Pelodiscus sinensis: one gene and its partner. The protein of the gene in region 2 interacts with the protein of the main gene of each other region in a biochemical or structural test. Links are inferred from orthologs where the notes say so. Each region holds a gene or a part of one and is shown on either strand. Other genes may lie near its edges.

Evidence for each region.
Region 1: the proteins of PLXND1 (region 2) and SEMA4A form a complex in vitro, tested with the Homo sapiens proteins (2 studies listed by IntAct, with this or other methods). The link is inferred for Pelodiscus sinensis from reciprocal best matches to the Homo sapiens genes PLXND1 and SEMA4A.

What each region holds. Positions count from the first base shown.
Region 1 is NC_134734.1:16,427,000-16,436,383, reverse strand, and holds the start of SEMA4A (semaphorin-4A), read left to right. Parts: upstream 1-5,259; 5' UTR 5,260-5,623; intron 5,624-9,384. UniProt on the Homo sapiens protein: Cell surface receptor for PLXNB1, PLXNB2, PLXNB3 and PLXND1 that plays an important role in cell-cell signaling. Regulates glutamatergic and GABAergic synapse development.
Region 2 is NC_134721.1:20,128,526-20,137,486, forward strand, and holds the start of PLXND1 (plexin-D1), read right to left. Parts: upstream 3,578-8,961; 5' UTR 3,409-3,577; coding exon 2,107-3,408; intron 1-2,106. UniProt on the Homo sapiens protein: Cell surface receptor for SEMA4A and for class 3 semaphorins, such as SEMA3A, SEMA3C and SEMA3E. Plays an important role in cell-cell signaling, and in regulating the migration of a wide spectrum of cell types.

The DNA of each region.
Region 1 (9,384 bases), on a different chromosome or scaffold from region 2:
GGGGGGAGTCCTTGGAGGAGGTGCGCACTGGAGATTCCCTCCTCTGCGGCATGCACCGGGATTTCCCTCCTCTGCAAGAGGGGGAGTCCCTGGAGGAGGCATGCGCAAGGGCTTCTCACCTATGGGGGAGGGAGGGAGTCCTTGGAGGAGGCATGCACCAGAGCTTCCCTCCTCTGCAGGTGGGGGAGGGGATAGGAGTCCCCAGAGGAGGTGTACATTGGAGCTTCCCTATGCAAGGGGGTAGGACTCCCGGGGGGGAGGCACATGCGGGGGACTCCCTATCCCCTGTCCCTACCAACACTCTGCTCCCATCAGCATCCTGTCCCCTGCCCCCACTAGAGCCCTGTCCCCACCCCAACACCCTGTCCCCTGCCCCAGCACCCACTAGCACCCTTCCCCAGTACCATGTCCCCTGCTCCCACCAGCAAGGTTGGGGCCACATTAGTGAGGCTTGGGATGGGGGGCTGGCGGAGTTATTTTTTTGCATCTCACTTGTGTGGCCCCAACTGACTTTTCTATGGGTCAGTGACCCCTGACTCAAAACAGGTTCCCTGCCCTTCTCAGAAATAAAGACAACGCTGAAACTTTTTGTGTTTGATATAATATTTTGTTTAAAAATGAAGCCTGGCCAACCAACCCCCCATCTGGCCGCAGCATCATAACACTCCTGCACCCCACCCCCAGGCCCTAGATCTATGCTGGAACACCCTGTCCTGAGCCTCTCACACCCCAAAATTCCTGTACCCCACATCCTCTGTCTTCTGCCACAACACTCCTGCACCATCCACACACCTGAAATCTGTGTCCTGAGCCCATCGTACTCCCAACCTCCCTGCCCTGAGCTCCTCATATCCCCCAACCCAAACTCCTGCACCCTCACATCCACAAGCCTGTGGCTTGCTCAGTACCCCAACCCTCCACCTGACCCCAACACTCCCCAGCCTGGAGCCCCCTCCCTGAGCCAGCATCCCCTTCTCCACCTTCTCCTGCATCCAAATTCCCTCCCAGAGCTTGCACCTCTCACCCCTTCAAAAACAACGAGCAGTCCTATGGCTCCTTAGAAACTAACACCAGACAGATCAAGACAGCCCAGCATGGTCCATCCTATCCATTTGCCCTGTCATGCTCCATGGCTTTTGTTTTCCTATGTGGTACTGTCTGAGGAAGCTCACTGCATATCCATCCTCCATCCTTACTGGAAGCCGGGGGAAGGGGGCATTGGCAGCTCAGAGTAAAATTGGCCTGGAGTTATCCAGTCAATTCTGTGTTGGCAAAGTATTGCCAACACTCAAATACAGCCACCCCAATCTCCGTATCTATGGATCTTATTGTCCTAGGGACACTACCACTGGCCAAGATTTGTACCCACTACCCCACCCATCCTCTGCCCCACCTCCTCCCTTTAGCGTCACCCACCTTGGTCCATTGTGTTGGGTGCTGGTCTCTGGTCTACAGCCCATCCTGGCTTTGTCACTGTTAAAGTTTGGTGGCTGGGGGTGGATTTAGCAAGGCCTTGTACTGTTAAGTGGAAACACAACTGTGTTTGCGTTTCAAAATCAATACAACAGCGAACCTACCCAGCCTGCATCCTCTTGTTATGTCAACCACTTTTTATAACGCATGGAGCACCTCTTACAACCATGCATAAAGTGGGCAGTGGCACATAATCACTTAAGCACCCCATCTTTGCTTTCTTTTCAATGGCTATCGGGCAGTGTTTCTTTCTTCTTTTTTTTTTCTCAACAGCTTTCCGCTGGACCTTTTTTTTTTTTCCTCAACAAAAAATCCTTAGTGTTCCTAATTAAAAAAAAATATTATGTGGTGTTCCTTGGTCTTAAAAAATTTAAGAAACATTGCTATAGTGTGTGTCTACGGTGCAACATTTTTCTGGAAAAATGGCTGTTGTTCCAGAAAAACAATATCTGTGTCCACACTGCCATTGAGTCCTTTTGACAGACAGCCCAAAGAACGGAGGGGGTTTTCTGACGATGGTAAACCTCTTTCTATGAGGAAGAAGTCTTTTTCTAAAAAACCTTTTTTAGAAAAAGACGGTTCGGGATGAAGAAGAGGGAGTTCTTTTGAAAGAAGAGGTCTCCAGGGAATAACACAGGTGCCCTGGTGGCCACTCCATCCATACTAATCACAACTTAAATGCGAGATTGCGTCCAATCAATATGGATGCTATCTTTTGAAAAAGCAGATCGCTTTTGCTGTGTAGACACTCTCTTTCAAAATAAGCGTTTCCGGAAGCTCTCTTCCAGAAAAGCTTCTTCTGAAAGAATCTTGCAGTCTACCAACTTCTGCACCCCCGTAGTGGCACGAACAGACTCCACCAGCCAGTAGAATTGAGGGAGTTTATTGCTTCTCCAGGGTACAGCACAGCACAGATGTAATCTAGTCACAGTAACCAGGGCTAGGAGGCCTCAGCCCCCCTTGAGATGGGGAGACCGGGCCCCTACAAATCTAGCCCCCTCCCTAGACATAGCCATAAACAGCCCAGTTGCCCACAGATGTAAGTTACTACCAGCAATCACATTTATTCCTAAGGTGAAAGCGTCACAGAAAAAACAAGATTAAAAACGTACTTAGGTGCATATGAACTTACCCAACTCCAACAGGGGCTCCGGCAGGAAAACAATCCTTTAGACCTCACCCAGGGGTTTCCCTGGTTCATAACCTCTTTTGTTCAGAACAAGCACAGCCCTGAATGCCCTGGGGAATCGCTGCTTTGTATGGCCGGGGCCTTTGACCTTGACAAATGAATGTACTTCAGGATGTAGCGTTGGATAACTGGCACCGGAGAGAGGAGTAAATACATTTGAATCTACCTCCTGCTCTTACTCTATTTAAATATAGTTCAGCAGGGTTTGTCCCCGAAATTGCCATTTCTGTGGCATGATCTTTTCTGTGGATTGCAAAACTGCATGGGTTTCAATTAGGGATGTAGAAAGTTCTTTCTAAAAAGCCTAGTGGTTAAACCCTAGCGGTTAAATTCTAACGCTGAAATACGTTTCATATGGCAGAGCCTTCCTGGAAGCCTCCCCTGGAGCAGGGCTGGCATTTCTCAGACACTTAGGTTAGGGTTAAGAAGAAATAGCCTCTGTGGGCAGATTATCCTATAGTTGTCCACTAGGGGGCGATCTTGAACCTTCCACTGATACAATGAATAGAAGTTAAGGCTCATAGAATCATAGAATACTAGGACTGGAAGGGACCTCGATAGGTCATCGAGTCCAGTCCCCTGCCCTCATGGCAGGACCAAGTACTGTCTAGACCATCCCTGATAGACAATTATCTAACCTACTCTTAAATATCTCCAGAGATGGAGATTCCACAACCTCCCTGGGCAATTTATTCCAGTGTTTGACCACCCTGACAGTTAGGAACTTTTTCCTAATGTCCAACCTAAACCTCCCTTGCTGCAGTTTAAGCCCATTGCTTCTTGTTCTATCCTCAGAGGCCAAGATGAACAAGTTTTTTCCTTCCTCCTTATGACACCCTTTTAGATACCTGAAAACGGCTATCATGTCCCCTCTCAATCTTCTCTTTTCTAAACTAAACAAACCCAATTCTTGCAGCCTTCTTTCATAGGTCATTTTCTCTAGACCTTTAATCATTCTTGTTGCTCTTCTCTGGACCCTCTCCAATTTCTCCACATCCTTCTTGAAATGCGATGCCCAGAACTGGACACAATACTCCAACTGAGGCCTAACCAGCACAGAGTAGAGCAGAAGAATGACTTCTCGTGTCTTGCTCACAACACACCTGTTAATGCATCCCAGGATCATGTTTGCTTTTTTTTGCAACAGCATCATATAGAAGGGACCTCAAGAGATTGTGTCCTAGGAAGGAGTCCTACGTTTCTGTTCAATTTCCAGCCAGGGAAACATCCCTTGACTTTTGATTTGAGTAAAGGACTTGGCTAATTTTTATTTGTACTGATTCTTTCATCTCTGCCTCGGTGCCACGAGTTTAAACTGCGCAGCAAGCAGAAGGGGCGAATTCCTAGCAGATACATTTTCTAAAATGATTTTACAGCTATTTGAACAAACTCCCAAGATTACCAACCCATTGCACGTTCCATGCAGAAATGGGCGAGCCCCCGGCCTGTTTGGTTTGGTAGCCATTTAAAAAAGAATCAGATGAGGCAAGAGTTTAGAGGGGGCCCAAAATGAGCAAGTGAACTGAAACGTGGGCAAACCAACTGTATCGGGGGAGAGGCTGAAATGTTTAGTTTCAACCCAATTGAAACGTTTGGTTTGGATTTTCATGCTTTTGGGCACATGGTTAATGAACCGGCAGGACACCTGGAGGCAGAAAGGAGTTTCAAACCAGCAACAAAAATAAACATTCTGTTCTATTGCACGACTGCAGCATGAAACGAGCAGCCTTGGTTAAACAGATTCCTACCCTGGTGGAAACTTGGCGGCAGGCGCGTAGGCAGCGATGCTGCTAGTATGGGCTTGCTTTGCTTTTCCAATGTATCCTAAGGGACCCTCCACGTAGTATTCCTGCTCTGGCTTGTTTTGCAAAAGCTGCAGTGGGTCCCTGCAATACGTCGGCTGCTTGTAGGGTTCCCAAGAGAAGTAAGTCTCCTGCGGGGGAGTTCATGGGCTTTTTTGGAAACACAGCGAGAAACCGAAATGCTATAGCCAGAGGTCCAGGCTCAGAGAAGTCGGGAGCTGTGCAAAAAGTGAAGGCTTAGGCCCTGGCACGGAAGGGATACATTGTCAGAGATGCTGTATAAAGGTCAGAGGTCTAGCATGACTTATGGATCCACGACAGCCTCTACACAAGGATCCCACCATCTCTATGCCACGGGGCTCTGCAATGACATGTGGGATCAAGCTGGGAGAATGGGGTCTCTCAACTTCAGGGAGCTGCCGGTTCTGTCTCTCTCTGGTTACGGTGTATTATCGCAGTGGCTCCTAACCCTAAAGCAGCCTCCCATTGCAGCCGTCCAGCAAGAGCATTTGATATTTATATCTATCGGTGCTGCATGCGGGCCGTGACCATAACGGGAGTAAGTAGCAAGCGAGACTCACGTTGCCCCAGTGCATGGGAGGGTGGAGGGTGCTGGATGACCGCGCGCCAGGTCCACGCATAGGGTAGGAGGTGGGGGGAGTTGTATGCTGCAGGACCAAAGAGGCGAGGTGTGGCCGTCATGTCTAGAGGTCTTGTTCCAGGCCCCCGTCTGAGACTCCGTCACTCTGGGCTGGGACTGTGAAGCGTGGGCCTGGATTGCCTGGGGCAGCAATCACTCACAGCAGCACGTCTAAGCCCTCCAGTGTTTCTCAAGCTGGGAAGTTGCGAAAGTGCTCGGTCCTTTGAGCTGCACAAGAGTTGAAGTACCAGGCGGTGCTCTGCTGGCAGCCGCCCACCCGCTCAAGCAGCAGCACTAATTCTCCAGCGCTAGTGCGGCCGGGGAGACCACGGGGAGAGCTGGGCAAAAAAGCAGCCGGGAAACGCTCTAGTAATCTGCTCAGCCAGCCACAGCGCCGGGGAGTTGCTGCACAGACGGTGCTGGGGCAGCTCTCCTGGACAGAGAGAAGCGAAGCAACTGGCGGAGCGACCATGCAGACAGGGGGCCAGCGGAGGAGACTGGGGCCTGCACCGCAGCAGCGTAAGTTACAAACAACGCTCTGTCTGGGCAGCTTTCCAACGCTGGAGGCCGGGAAGGGAAAGGGTGGGGAGCATAGCCATTGGTGGTCACGCTCCGGGATTTTTTGTGGTCGGATTTACAGCTGTTGCAAGAATGTTTAAGGAGGGAGTAGGAAGAAGGGACTTATGAGGCAGCTCTCCAGATGCTCCAGGGCACAAAGGAAAAGATCAGATGCCAGGCTGCCTTGGCTCCAGACCAACCCAGGTGCGCCACAGGCATGGATGCTCCAGCCCACCCAGCCAGGGTGGGGTGGGGTGCGCTCCGGCCTGGCCATAGCGACCTCCCCGCCCCTTTTAAAGGGCTATCCATTGAAACATTATATTTAACCATTTAAATGGGACTTTAAATCCTTAATGTGGGTGGAGTCAGTGTCATTCTCCCTGTTTTGCAAATGGGGAAACCGAGGCACGGAGCCAGGTGGTGACCTGCCCGCAGTGGCTGAGGGAGAAAGGAATCTTTCCCTTGCTTTGTCAAAAGTCTGTGAGATCATCAGAGGGAAGATGGAGGCTTGGAGTAAGGCAGCATCGTATGATGCAGGAGCCCTCGTCCCTGCTCCGACTCCTTGTGTGCTTGGACAGGACACCGCTACAGGTCTAGTTTCTTCTCAGTGCAGAGGGGGTGGAAATACTGACTCAGCACTGAAGACTCTGCCTGCAGGGAGGTGAAATCCACCAACGCCTGAGGGGAGCTAAGACCTGGTCTACGCCACAGGGGGAAGATTAAGTGAAGAGACGCAACTTCAGCTACATTAATTATATAGCTGGAGTCGATGTATCTTAAAACGAGTTTCTGCGCTGTCCACACAGTGGGAGGCTGACAGGAGCAAATGTTCCCATCGGCTTCCCTTACTCCTCACAAGGAGCAGGAGTACCATCACGGACAGGGGCACCCTCTGAGTTTGACTTAGCAGGTCTTCACCAGACCCACTAAATCGAGCCCCATCGATCTTCCATGTAGTGAAGACGCGGCCTGAGACATAGCGAATGGAGGCCCTGGAGGTATGTTGAGGACATAATATCATCGTTCTCCAGGCAGCAGAATAGAAAGCCCTGCTCCGTCTGTGGCTGGAACCCCAAAACGGCTCCTTTAATACCCACGGCAGCCTGGGAAGAGCTTCATTTCAGTGAGACCTGCCGGCACATTGGGTTGCTCAGGAGCTATGAGAATCCCGGTCAGAGAAGGGGACCCAACTCGGGTGCAATCCTGGGCTGTGTCTAGACTACATGCCTCTGTCGGCAGAGGCATGTAGATTAGACAGATGGGCAGAGGGAAATGAAGCTGCGATTTAAATAATCGCGGCTTCATTTAAATTTAAATGGCTGCCCCGCTCTGCCGATCAGCTGTTTGTCGGCAGAGCGGGGCAGTCTAGACGTTCCCCTGTCTACAGAAAACCCTTTTGTCGTCCGCCCCGTTATGCCTCGTGGGATGAGGTTTACCGGGGCAGTCGACAAAAGGGTTTTCTGTCGACAGGGGAACGTCTAGACTGCCCCGCTCTGCCGACAAACAGCTGATCGGCAGAGCGGGGCAGCCATTTAAATTTAAATGAAGCCGTGATTATTTAAATCGCGGCTTCATTTCCCTCTGCCCATCTGTCTAATCTACATGCCTCTGCCGACAGAGGCATGTAGTCTAGACACAGCCCTAGTTCCATTAAAATCAATGGGAGTTTTGGCTTCAGTGGAGTTGGGATTTCACTCCCAGACTTTAAAAAGACTTAGGACAGCCGCGCTTCCTCGCTGGATCCGCTGCAGGCTCCCTATGTGACCCTGATTTCTATGGGGGCCCAGTGCCTGAATACTTTTTGAGGCTCTGGGCCTGTATCTAGCTTGTCCTTTGGTTCTGCAGCTATAAACCAGGGTATGTCTATACCTGCACCCTCTTCCGATAGAGGGATGCAAATGAAGACATACAAAATTGCAAATGAAGCCAGGATCTAACTATTCCATGCTTCATTTGCATAATCATGTGATGGGGCTATTTCGAAATACAAAACACGGTGTAGATGCGGTTATTTTGGGAGAACGCCCTTCTTCCAAAATAACTGTTAAACCTCATTTTATGAGGAATAAGGGTTATTTCGGAAGAAGGGTGTCTGCCCAAAATAACCACATCTACACTGCGTTTTGTATTTCAAAATAGCGCTATTTTGAAATAGCGCCATAACGCGATTATGCAAATGAAGCGCAGGATATTTAAATCCCGGCTTCATTTGCAATTTCGAATGTCTTCATTTGCATCCCTCTATCGAAAGAGGGTGCAAGTGGAGACATACCCCCAGGGTTTCCATGGTGACTCCATGGCTAGGGGAGGAAAGCCCCCCCCAAGCCCTACCCACCAAAGCCCAATCTTCCCCTCACACACTGCGGCCTGCTGGCCGCCGCCCCGCCTCTTCTGCCCCACCCCCACCCCACAATGTGGCTGCTGGCCCTTGCCCCTTTCCTGCCCTGGGGTAGCACGCCCCAACCTCTCCTGGTCCCAGAGCTCCGGCGGGCGGTGCGGCTCCAGCCTGGAGCTCCAGCGAGCTGGCCATCAGGCATGGCACAGGCTAGGCATGGGCAGGGCCAGGTAAGGCAGTGCCTTCCCCTGCCTAGGATACCCGCCGCCCAGGAGGGGGCCTGTTTCCGCTGTGAGGTGTAACGGGCTTTGGTGCAGCGGATACCAGCGGAAGCGTGCAGTGGAGTGGAGTTCCCCGGGTGGAAAAAGCTGTACCCGCGAAGGGTCTTGGTTGTACTGCCCTCCGGCTGTCGTTGGCATGGCTGGGTCGGCAGGCGCGTGATTTGTGTCTCAGGAGCAATGCTGCCAAAATGTTGACTCCGAGAGCAGGCCCGAGGCAGTGAAGCGCTGAATTCTGGGAGCCGGCCAAGTCATGCCCTTCGTCTCCTGGGCACCTCAGCCCCCACAGCAAACCAAGCCTGTTGCCTCCGACACGCTCCCGTTCCCACGGGCCCGATTCTGGGAGCTAAATCCCGCTTTGGGCGCCAAAGGAATGAGCCCAAAACCATCTAGCCTGGTCCCGCTCGGGCTCTTTGCCCAGGAGTGGCCTGAGCTGGCGTGGGCTGCAGGGCAGGCTTGGACTGGGCTGCGCTCGGATGGCTTGGTGCCGGGACTTGGGGAGACCTGGTGCTCTGAAGCTGGGAAGGCGCAGCCAACCTTGGGCTAGGATTGGAGGCACTGCAGCCTAGGTGCCCTCTCCGTGCTCCAGGGCAGGGGTGAGAGGGCCAGAAGCAGGCGGGCAGGGAGGAGGCTCAGGTCTCTAGCAGGGAGTGACTGGAGCGAGCTAGTCTGCCTCTACTGCCAGGTTGCCCAGGGCTGGGTCTCAGGTAGGGGTTTTCATGCAAGAGTAGCTCCTGCTTTTAGAACCAAAAGTCCCCAGTTTGGTTCCCGCCGCCAAAGATCCATCTTGGGATTATTCGGCTGTCTCCCCCTTGCAGTGTCACACTGGTCAATGGCGCCCCCGATTTGCTCACCACATAGGAGGGTCACATGGGGGAACCTTGAGCGGGCTACCTTTAGAGAGATGCTGGTTAGGTTCTGAGATGTATTAATGGGAGTGTTGTGGGCAAGACATGAGAAGTCATTCTCCCGCTCTCCTCTGCGCTGAGGAGGCCTCCGCTGGAGTATCGTGTCCAGTTCTGGGCACTGCATTGCAGGAAAGATGTGGGCAAACTGGAGAAGGTCCAAAGAGGAGCAACAAAAAGGATGAAAGGTCTAGAAGACATGGC
Region 2 (8,961 bases):
ACTGAACACACATTCTTAGAGCTGCCTTTCCTCCATGTCTGTACAGAGAGCAACAAATGAAAAGAAAGAGAAAAATAAAGTCTGTGAGTCACCACTAGTTCACTGGGGACAGGGAACGTGGGAATAAAGATGGTCCTTGATAAAAGAGGGGGTGGTTGTATGTATGCAAAAACCACTGCATGTTTGACTTCATAGTAAGCCACGTAGGAATCCAATTGATTGTCACAATGAACCTAAATTTACACATGGATACTGAATTAATGTAAATCATTGCCAAAAAGGAGCTTATTGTACTCAGCATGTCTTCCTCAATTTTCTAAATTGTGTACATAAACCAGAATCACTCATAGTGATGGATCAGAGGAGGCTATGAGATGGATTTGAACAGAGACAGTCCTGGGAATGCAGAATCCACATACAAATTCTAACACCCACTTCAATCCAGGGCAGAAGTTTGGCTTCATACTACTGTAAACCTCTGAGAGAGGTCTGGGTTTGGCTGCTGACATACTCTTTCTCAACCATCACCCAAATCCAAAGTCTGACAGGGATTCAGGTGCTAAGGTCTGGGATAGACCATTAGAGCCTGATATGCATCACTGAAGTCTATGGAGATTTGCAACAGATTTTAATGGGGTACAGTGTGCAAGTTCACACCCACAGAGACTCAGGCCTGTACACAGGGCGAGTGCAAAGGGTGCGAAAGCACCCCCCATGGTCCCCTAAGTAAGTATACTCCGCAGGAGCAGTGAGCTGTCTGAGCCTCCCACAGCCATGCTTTGACCAGCTGAGGGAAGGCTGGGGCTGATTTCCCAGCTTATGTGGGGGACCATTGGGGTGCATTTACACCCTTGTGGTCCACATTTACAAAAAAAGCACATACCCCCACAGAAATGCGTATGGGCCTGAGACTAGTTATAACATTCCGGTCAGGCTTTTGGTTCTGATTCCAAGCACCACCAACCCAAAGTCCAGTGGTTCTCACATGCAGGCTTCTGACTGAATCCCATCTCTAATTTGCATTTATACGACAATGCTTATGTCAGATACACAGATATGTGAAAGCTGTATCACTTTCGATGTTTACACTGGATTAGACAAAGCACCGGAGAATGGACTGAAGAGAACAATTCCAATGGACAAACTAATAAATCTTTTCCGCCTCTCACTTCCATGATTCTCAAATCCCACCAGACTTCAACCTGATGGATTGTTATCACTTACTCAGCTAGTCAAGAAGGTTCACGGTTATTAATCCAAACATGAGACCCAATTCTAAAGTCCTTACAATGATTTTAAAAGTGTTTTGCCTGAGTAATAACTTCAAGATTGGGACCATGGAGAATCCAGTCTCAGCCAAGCATTCCAGTCTATGCACTGCTGGATATCAGCAGGGGCTCACCACACTGTCTGTTTGGGGTGTGCTGAGCCCTGTCCTGCAGAGCTCTAGGTTGCCTTTTACAGTCTCTCATCTACTAAACAGCTGGGTTTCTGCCAGCAGGTGGTTTCCCTAGGATAAAATCATCTCACTGTAGTGTAGTATCACATGGATTACCTAACTTTTTTCCACCGACAGGGGGTTATAGTGCCTTGAACCACACCCCTTCTGCCTCAAAATCTGCTCTCTTGAGCTGCACTTTTATCAGAATTAGGGGCTCTCCCCAGTAGGGATTCCCCAACTCTGCACTCTGATCTTCCACAGGGACATATCTGCTCCCTGCGCCACGGCCCTTGAAAGGGAACCTTCCAGTTTCTCACCCTCTACAGAAGAGGTGTCCCACCATCCTAGAAAACTAAGCTGCGGCCTTATCTGGGGCACCTTCCGAACTTTCTCAGTGGTTCTCCTAATGTTGGGACTCTGCTCTCCTGGACTCCGCTGTTACCTGGGTCCCCACGAGGGTGGGCAACTGCAACATCCCAGGAGTCTCGCTCCCCATCCCAGAGGAGGAATCCCCACTCCTGAGATCCAATATCAGCGAGGATGCTGAAGCTCCCCTGAGCGGGGCAGCGGGGTCCCCACTAACGACAGGCGCGTCTCCAGAGCTGCCTCCCTCCCACCACAAGGCTGCCCAGGGGGGGGCCCGATCCCAGCCCCCCGCCGCCTACCTGGATGTTCCTCTTCTCGCAGGCCGGCCCGGTGCCCTGCACCACGCTGTCCAGCACGTCCACCCGCCCGGAGTCGGGCTCCACGAAGCACGAGTGCCGGGCCTGCCGGATGCGCCGCTCGATGTCGGCGAAGCGGAAGGCGCAGAGCGCCGAGTTGTGGCGGGCCCCGGGCGGGGCGGCGCCCTCGAAGACCCCGAAGAGCAGCTCCTGCGGCCGGGCCCCTTCCCCGCCGGCGGGCGCCAGCTGCAGGGCGGCGGCGGCGGGGAAGACGGAGAGCAGGCGGGTGAAGCCGCTGCCGCCGCCGGGCCCGCACTGCAGCCCCAGCTGGATGTAGGACTCGGTCAGCTTCTTGGCTTCGCCGGCGCTGGCGTTGCGGCCCGGCTCGGCCAGGCAGATGCGGGCCAGCAGGCTGTGCGAGTGGCTCTCCTTGTCGCCGGCGTTGGCCTCGCTGTTGAGGGCCAGGTAGGCGTAGGCGGCGCCCCTCAGCGGCGGGGCGGGGTGCAGGAAGGCGCGCACGAAGCTCAGCTTGTGGCGGGCCTTGTGGCCCTGCTTGATCTTGAAGATGTTGTCGTCTGAGGGGTTGAGGTCGAAGGTGAAGAGCTTGGCCAGGTCGCCGCGGGCGTTGAGGGCGCGGATGGCGATCTCGGGCGTGTTCTCGAAGCGATGGTCCTCCAGGCTCTGGTTGCGCGGGAAGAAGGGGCTGCCGAAGCCCGTGTAGGTCGCCCCCACCAGCAGCCGCGTGTCCCGCCTCCCCGCCGCCGGCCGCAGCACCAGCCCCACGGTGGAGGCGTTGGGGTGGTTGGCCGCCACGTTGAGCATGCTGGGGAAGACGGTCACCGGCTCCCCGCCGCCGCTGGCGCTGCCCGGCGGGAAGCTCACGGCCACGGCGGAGATGTTGGCCATGCTGCGCAGCTGGCAGAAGCCCTGGTAGATGGAGCCGCACACCACCACGATGCCCTGCTCCGGGTCCGGCTGCAGGATCTTGTTGTAGTTGTTGGTCAGCCGCCTGGGGTGCTCGCAGGAGGCCTGCGGCAGCTGGGGTGCGTGGCACAGGGGGTTATCCGGCACCGGGCCCACCTGCTCCTCCACCTCCAGCGTCAGGTTGGGGCCGGAGAGCTGGTAGAGCCGGTTGACAGCCGCCAGGTAGATCTTGCTGCCCGGCCCGTCCAGAGCGAAGTTGTTGGTCAACGTGGGCGAGAGGAACTTGTGCTGCACCTCCAGGCCGGCGTTGGGGCTGGCGAGGAGGGCCAGCAGCAGCAGGAGGGGGGTTAGCACCTTAGCGCCTCTCTCCCCGGGAGTCATCCTGCCGCCTGGGCTGCTGCTCTGCAGAGTGCATGAGGCTCCACGGGAAAGGGGGCTTTGCAAAGCCAGGGGAGGAAAACCTGCTTCCTGCGAAGCCAACACGCCTCAGCACTGAGTGACGCCAGGAGGGAAGTCCGGAGCTTTTGTTGCAATCGCAGCCTTTGCCTGGTTACTGGACCTTCCTCTCTCTCTCTCTCTTCTCGCCAGCGCGGAGATCGGATGGGGTTAAACTCCCGATCTCGTCTTTGCAAAAAGCAGCACCCTCCCCCCTCTCTCTCTCTCTCTCTGACAGCTCCGCTCTGCCTGTGAAGCGATCCGCCGCTCTCAGACTTCTCCTCTCTTTCGCTTCTCTCCTTTCTGCATTACTCATGATGTGTGTTTTTTTTTAATTTAGGGTTTGTCATGTGAATATGATTAAGTTAAAGATATTTTCCAAAAGCTGGAAGGCAAACGTCGCACCAGCCAACCACACAAAGAGACAGCCCTTGTTCCTTGATAGCAGCTCTTCTAACAAATAACTCTTGTGTTTGTGTGTGGGGGGGGGGGTCGTGTTTCTAATCAGAATATGGGACTGAAAGGGAGATAAGAACTTTTTCTCGTCCGGACATAAAGCAAGATTGCAACCATAAGTAAAAATAACCAAACAACATTCATTTTTGCCGACCCACTCCTATCCAGTCTTCCCTCTCCCCCCCCCCACTTCCCACAGTCAAAATAGGTTAACTCTCAGTGCTCTTGAAGTATTGCACTCCCCATAAAGAAGTTGTACAAGAAAGGATAACAAAGAAGAGAGGTCAGACTGTCTGGAGTTGGGGGTCAGGGATAAATTAAGTGGACAAATATTTCAAGTATGTAAGGGTGGGGGGATCTCTACCAATCCCACTGTATTTCAGTCACTGGCGCCATGCACTGCTTGTTGTTTTAATTCCCTCTGTTGCAATGGAGATGTGTTTGCACTGAGCTGCTCTTTATTTAATGTGCTCAAGAAAAGCTGACATCCCCCAAGCTTGAAATCTTCTACTCATTCCCAGGGCAGGTATAGCACAGGCAGCAGAATTCCCTGACACTGCTCTGATAATGTTCCTGAATCCTATCCAAGAAGACTTAGGAATGAGAGCTTAGTAGGGATCGGGTTGGGGTAGTATACCTCTTCCATCTGCACCCACAAAATAAACTCTGCACCTGTGAGTTGCTGCTCACAGTAGATTGTGCAGGTGTTCAAATTATAATTGTGCATATTCTTTGAGCTCCATTGGGCATCTTGTGCTTGGTTTATTTGCATTAGGTACCCTATGGAGATAACACTCAGTTGTGCAGGTCAGAGGTCCTCTCTCTTCTTTCAGATGGCTTTTCTACACAGAAAAGTTATACCAATATTAGTTAAGGTGTGAAGTTAAACTAATATAGTGAAACTAGCGTAATGCCTACATGGACCCCCATTCCAGTGTACAAGTACCTTTATTGCTTTAGGATAGGTTTAAAAGAACCCCTCCACTGCAAAAAAGCAACTCTGATACTGGACTAAATGTTTACATGGAGTTTAAATCAAGACAGTTATACTGATTTAACTATATACTTATACCACTATATATGGAAATTTTTTACAAGATAGACAACCTCTTACATGTAGAATGAAATAGTTAACAATTTTGACACAAATTATCATCACTAGACCTCTGAGTTTACCCCTCACTAAAATTCAGGGTTTTAGAACTAATGTTCTAATCTGCAGGCTTTCTGCAGATTGACATAGAGATCTCTGCCTCAGTTACCGAGTGCATGTTGATAACGTTTACTGTGCACTCCTACTAGCTAGAAACTGATTTATTTTTTTGAATGAAAACAGATCAGAATTAAGAGGTATTTGTATGCCAATATTGGCTGAATGTATGCCCTGGCATTCAGTCTCTCTTTCACTTTCATTGACCTTTCTACAGATTTTCCCAATTTGGAGAAGTTTTGTGTGTGTGATGTGAGCACCCATCCTCTGAAAATAAACTGAAACCCATACCAAACTCATTTAATATAATCACTAGTTGCTAACAATGGGCTGATTGTTTTCTCCCTCAGGAAAATCAGCAGGATAACACTAATGTGGAGAAAATCTCAGCAAGATTTCTTCCTAATTGTTCCATCAGAGGAAGAAGGGTAAGATTGTCCTGGGACTGGGTTGTCTTATCACTCTTTCAACTTAAGCTGGAAGGAAATGAGGTAGCTCCAAGCCCCACTTCTTGTCTGCTCACTCCCCAGTGTGGAGCCACAGACTTATCGAGCGTCATCTCTGAGATCAGAGGAGGACTGAAGTGTCCTTCATTCTTGTAGTTGTATATTGTCACAATAATTGCTGTACATCTTAAGGCCTTGGTCCCCACAGTTCTTTGGAAGTGTAAGAATCTTTGTTTCTCTAGGAAAGTTTCTATCACTTGTGGTTCTGAAAAAAATCTTGGAAACATAATCTGTTAGTTAATGCCTATTACGCCCGCTGGTGTGTAGGGCAGCAACGAAGGTTCTCCATTTTTTGTTTGTCTTTGGCCATTTTCTCCAGTGTGTCCCAGTTGTAATTCATTCTCTTCATGTCTGACTCAACAGTACGCCGCCATGTTGTCTTGGGGCTCCCATGTTTCCGTCGTCTTTCAGGCGTCCAGTGAAGTGCTATCTTTACAATGGCATCTGCCTCCCTTCTCATCACGTGCCCTATCCATCTCCAGCATTTTCTCATAATGATAGTTGTCATGAACTCCTGGTGGCATCGCAGGAGCAGGTCGTGGTTGGAGATTGCATTTTTTGGCCGAAAACAATGTATCTTACGAAGGCTGGTGGTGTGAAAGGATGAGAGTTTGGCACGGTTGCACTCTGTCATCTGCCAGCACTCTGAGCCATATGGTAGTGTTGATATGACACAGCTCTGGTACAGCTTAAGCTCTAGCACACCTTAAATAAACCAAATGGTAAATAAAATAATACTTATATGTATTATCTTGGTGCCTTCTTCCACTAGGGAAGGGTGTGAGTTGTGCATTGAGAGGCCTAACCATGCATAGATCAGGGGCAGGTAGTTAGGTCTGATGTTTGGTCACTAGACTCCTGGCAGGCTCATACTAATAGATTCTGTGCCTCTCTTTCAATATCGGGAGCCATCCCTGTGCCTGGGCTGTTCTCATGTTACTTCAGTTATTTTCACTTATACAAAACATATAATTGAGACTGATGGGGATTTTGGATTACTCGTATTCTGGATAGAAATGTCCTCTGTTGTCTAATCTCATTTCTACACCTGCTAGCTTCCTTCACCCCTTTCATGTCCCTTTCACCCATTTCAGAGCACTAATTAATACATAACTGCAATAACCATGCGATGTTCACTGAAGATGTGCATAGAATTAAATAGTGCTTTCTCATTAACTCATTGTCCTTGCTAATCATAACTATCCATTACAGATATTGGTTCTTTTTAAAAAGATTGTTTGGGGTTTTTTATTTTCAAATTTTAAATACTAGAGTATCATTAACTCCCCAGAACTAAACTCATGCTCTAAAATATAACACTACATTATATTTAGCACCTTCCATTCTAGGATGTCAAGGGCTTTATAAATGCTGGCTAATTAAGCCCTAAGTGTGAGGCAGGTAAGTATCATTATCCATATTTTACAGAAGGAAAAGCTGAAGCATGGAGGTCTTCATTTTCCAAAAAATTGACGAGTTATGTAAATGCTTCTCTTTTGGGGAGCCCCATCCCATAATCTGTCTTTTTTAGGGTTTCCTACCACCACTCATTACCACGATATCTGGTCTCCTTCCAAATGAGATGACCCTTTTAAAGGACCTCATATTAGACACCCAAAATTTTAGGCAACCAAAATAACAAGTAATATCTGAAAATTTAGCCCCAGGTGAATAAGTGAGTTGCCCAAAAGCATATAGTTACTGGCCTTGTCAGGGTTAAAAGCCAAGCATCCTGACTTCCAGTTTACTGTAATGACTACTTTCCTACACTGATATAGTTTAAGCCAAAATATTGGTAGTATTGCAAGATTATCAGGTAAATATTTCATTTTTGTTGTTGTCAGGAAACAATCCTCTGACGAGATGCTTTGAGGATGATTTTTTCCAGAAATGCTCATTCCCATTATTACTAGTGCAATTGGAATCCCTAAAGAATATGTTCAGATAATGCTATTAATAGAGGAGTTTTAATCTCCACTATGCAGCTCGTAGTATTTTTCTTTGTTCAGAAAGGAATGAAGGTCCGAAAACAACCAACAAAAAAAACCTGTCTATGCCTCTGAATTTGGACAATTACCCCCGGCCAGAATCTGTTTCTGTTTGACACTTATGCAGGTTAAAAGATAACATCTTTTTAGACAGGGGGAGGGGGAAGTGTGTGTGGGGGCAGGAAAGGTGTGTGTGTGTGTGTGTAACAACTCAAAACCATTTTAATCATTAATAAATATATTTACCCAAGCACAGATGTTCTATAGAGAGAACATGAGTTACTCATGCACTTACTCAGGTTATATTGACTCAACATTGTCAAACAGCAGGCTCTGTGTCTAGCCCTTTTACTATGCTGAGTACAAACATCTATTTATTTTCCTGGTTTTAGCAGCAAGCTACCAGAGCACAGCTTGACTTTAGGGGGACAGCTCACAATTCCATGTTGGAAATGAACTGGTTTGACTCAGCAGACCCAAATAAATAACCCACCAAGCTGACCATTTGGAAGAAAGAAAGAAAGAGACTGGTTTCTAGATATAACACGTCATTCAATGTGTGACACTGCCTAGAATCAAGTGAGTTCTCCAGCATTCAGTGCTGTTTGTCTCTCACACCATGTCTTCCGTAGCATGGTCGCTATGTTAGGGATAGAAATTCTAAGAGAGTGTCTGTAGCTTAGTACACGGAGCACCTGGAAATCAGAAAAAAAATTTTTTTTTTGTTTATTGTACAAATAGTATCTGGAAATGGTTGGCAGTTTCCCAAGCCTGATTTAAGTGTTGCCTGGTGTGTGTGTGGGAGTGAGAGAGAGGTAGATAGAAGTGTTGTGAGTAGATTTGTGCAAAACTCAGAAGTTTCTTCTTCATCTTCTTTTTTGTGGCAGGCTGTAATGTGGGTGTGCTTTGGGCTTGACATGACCTCCATTTGTCTGAGTTGTGAAACCAATCTCAAAGCAAAAGTTCACTCAAAATTGATGAGTTTCACCTGCAAACATAAGAGAGTGAAAATTTTAAGTTAAGTCCAAATCTGCCACCGGCATCCCATATCCACTCCATTCCTAGGGGCTTCGTCTACACTTCAGGCTTCTTGCACAAGAACTTTTTGCGGAAGATATCTTCCACAAAAAGGTCTTGTTCAAGAGTTCATCCACACTGTCATGTGCTTTTGTGCAAGAGATGCACTTTTGCGCAAGAGAGTGTCCACACTGCCAGGGTGCTCTTGCACAAGAAAGTTCTGATGGCAATTCACAGGATGGCCATCAGAGCACCTGTACTTTTTCCGATAGGGTTTCTTGTGCAAGATACCCCTGTAGTCCATCCACACACACCTTTTTGC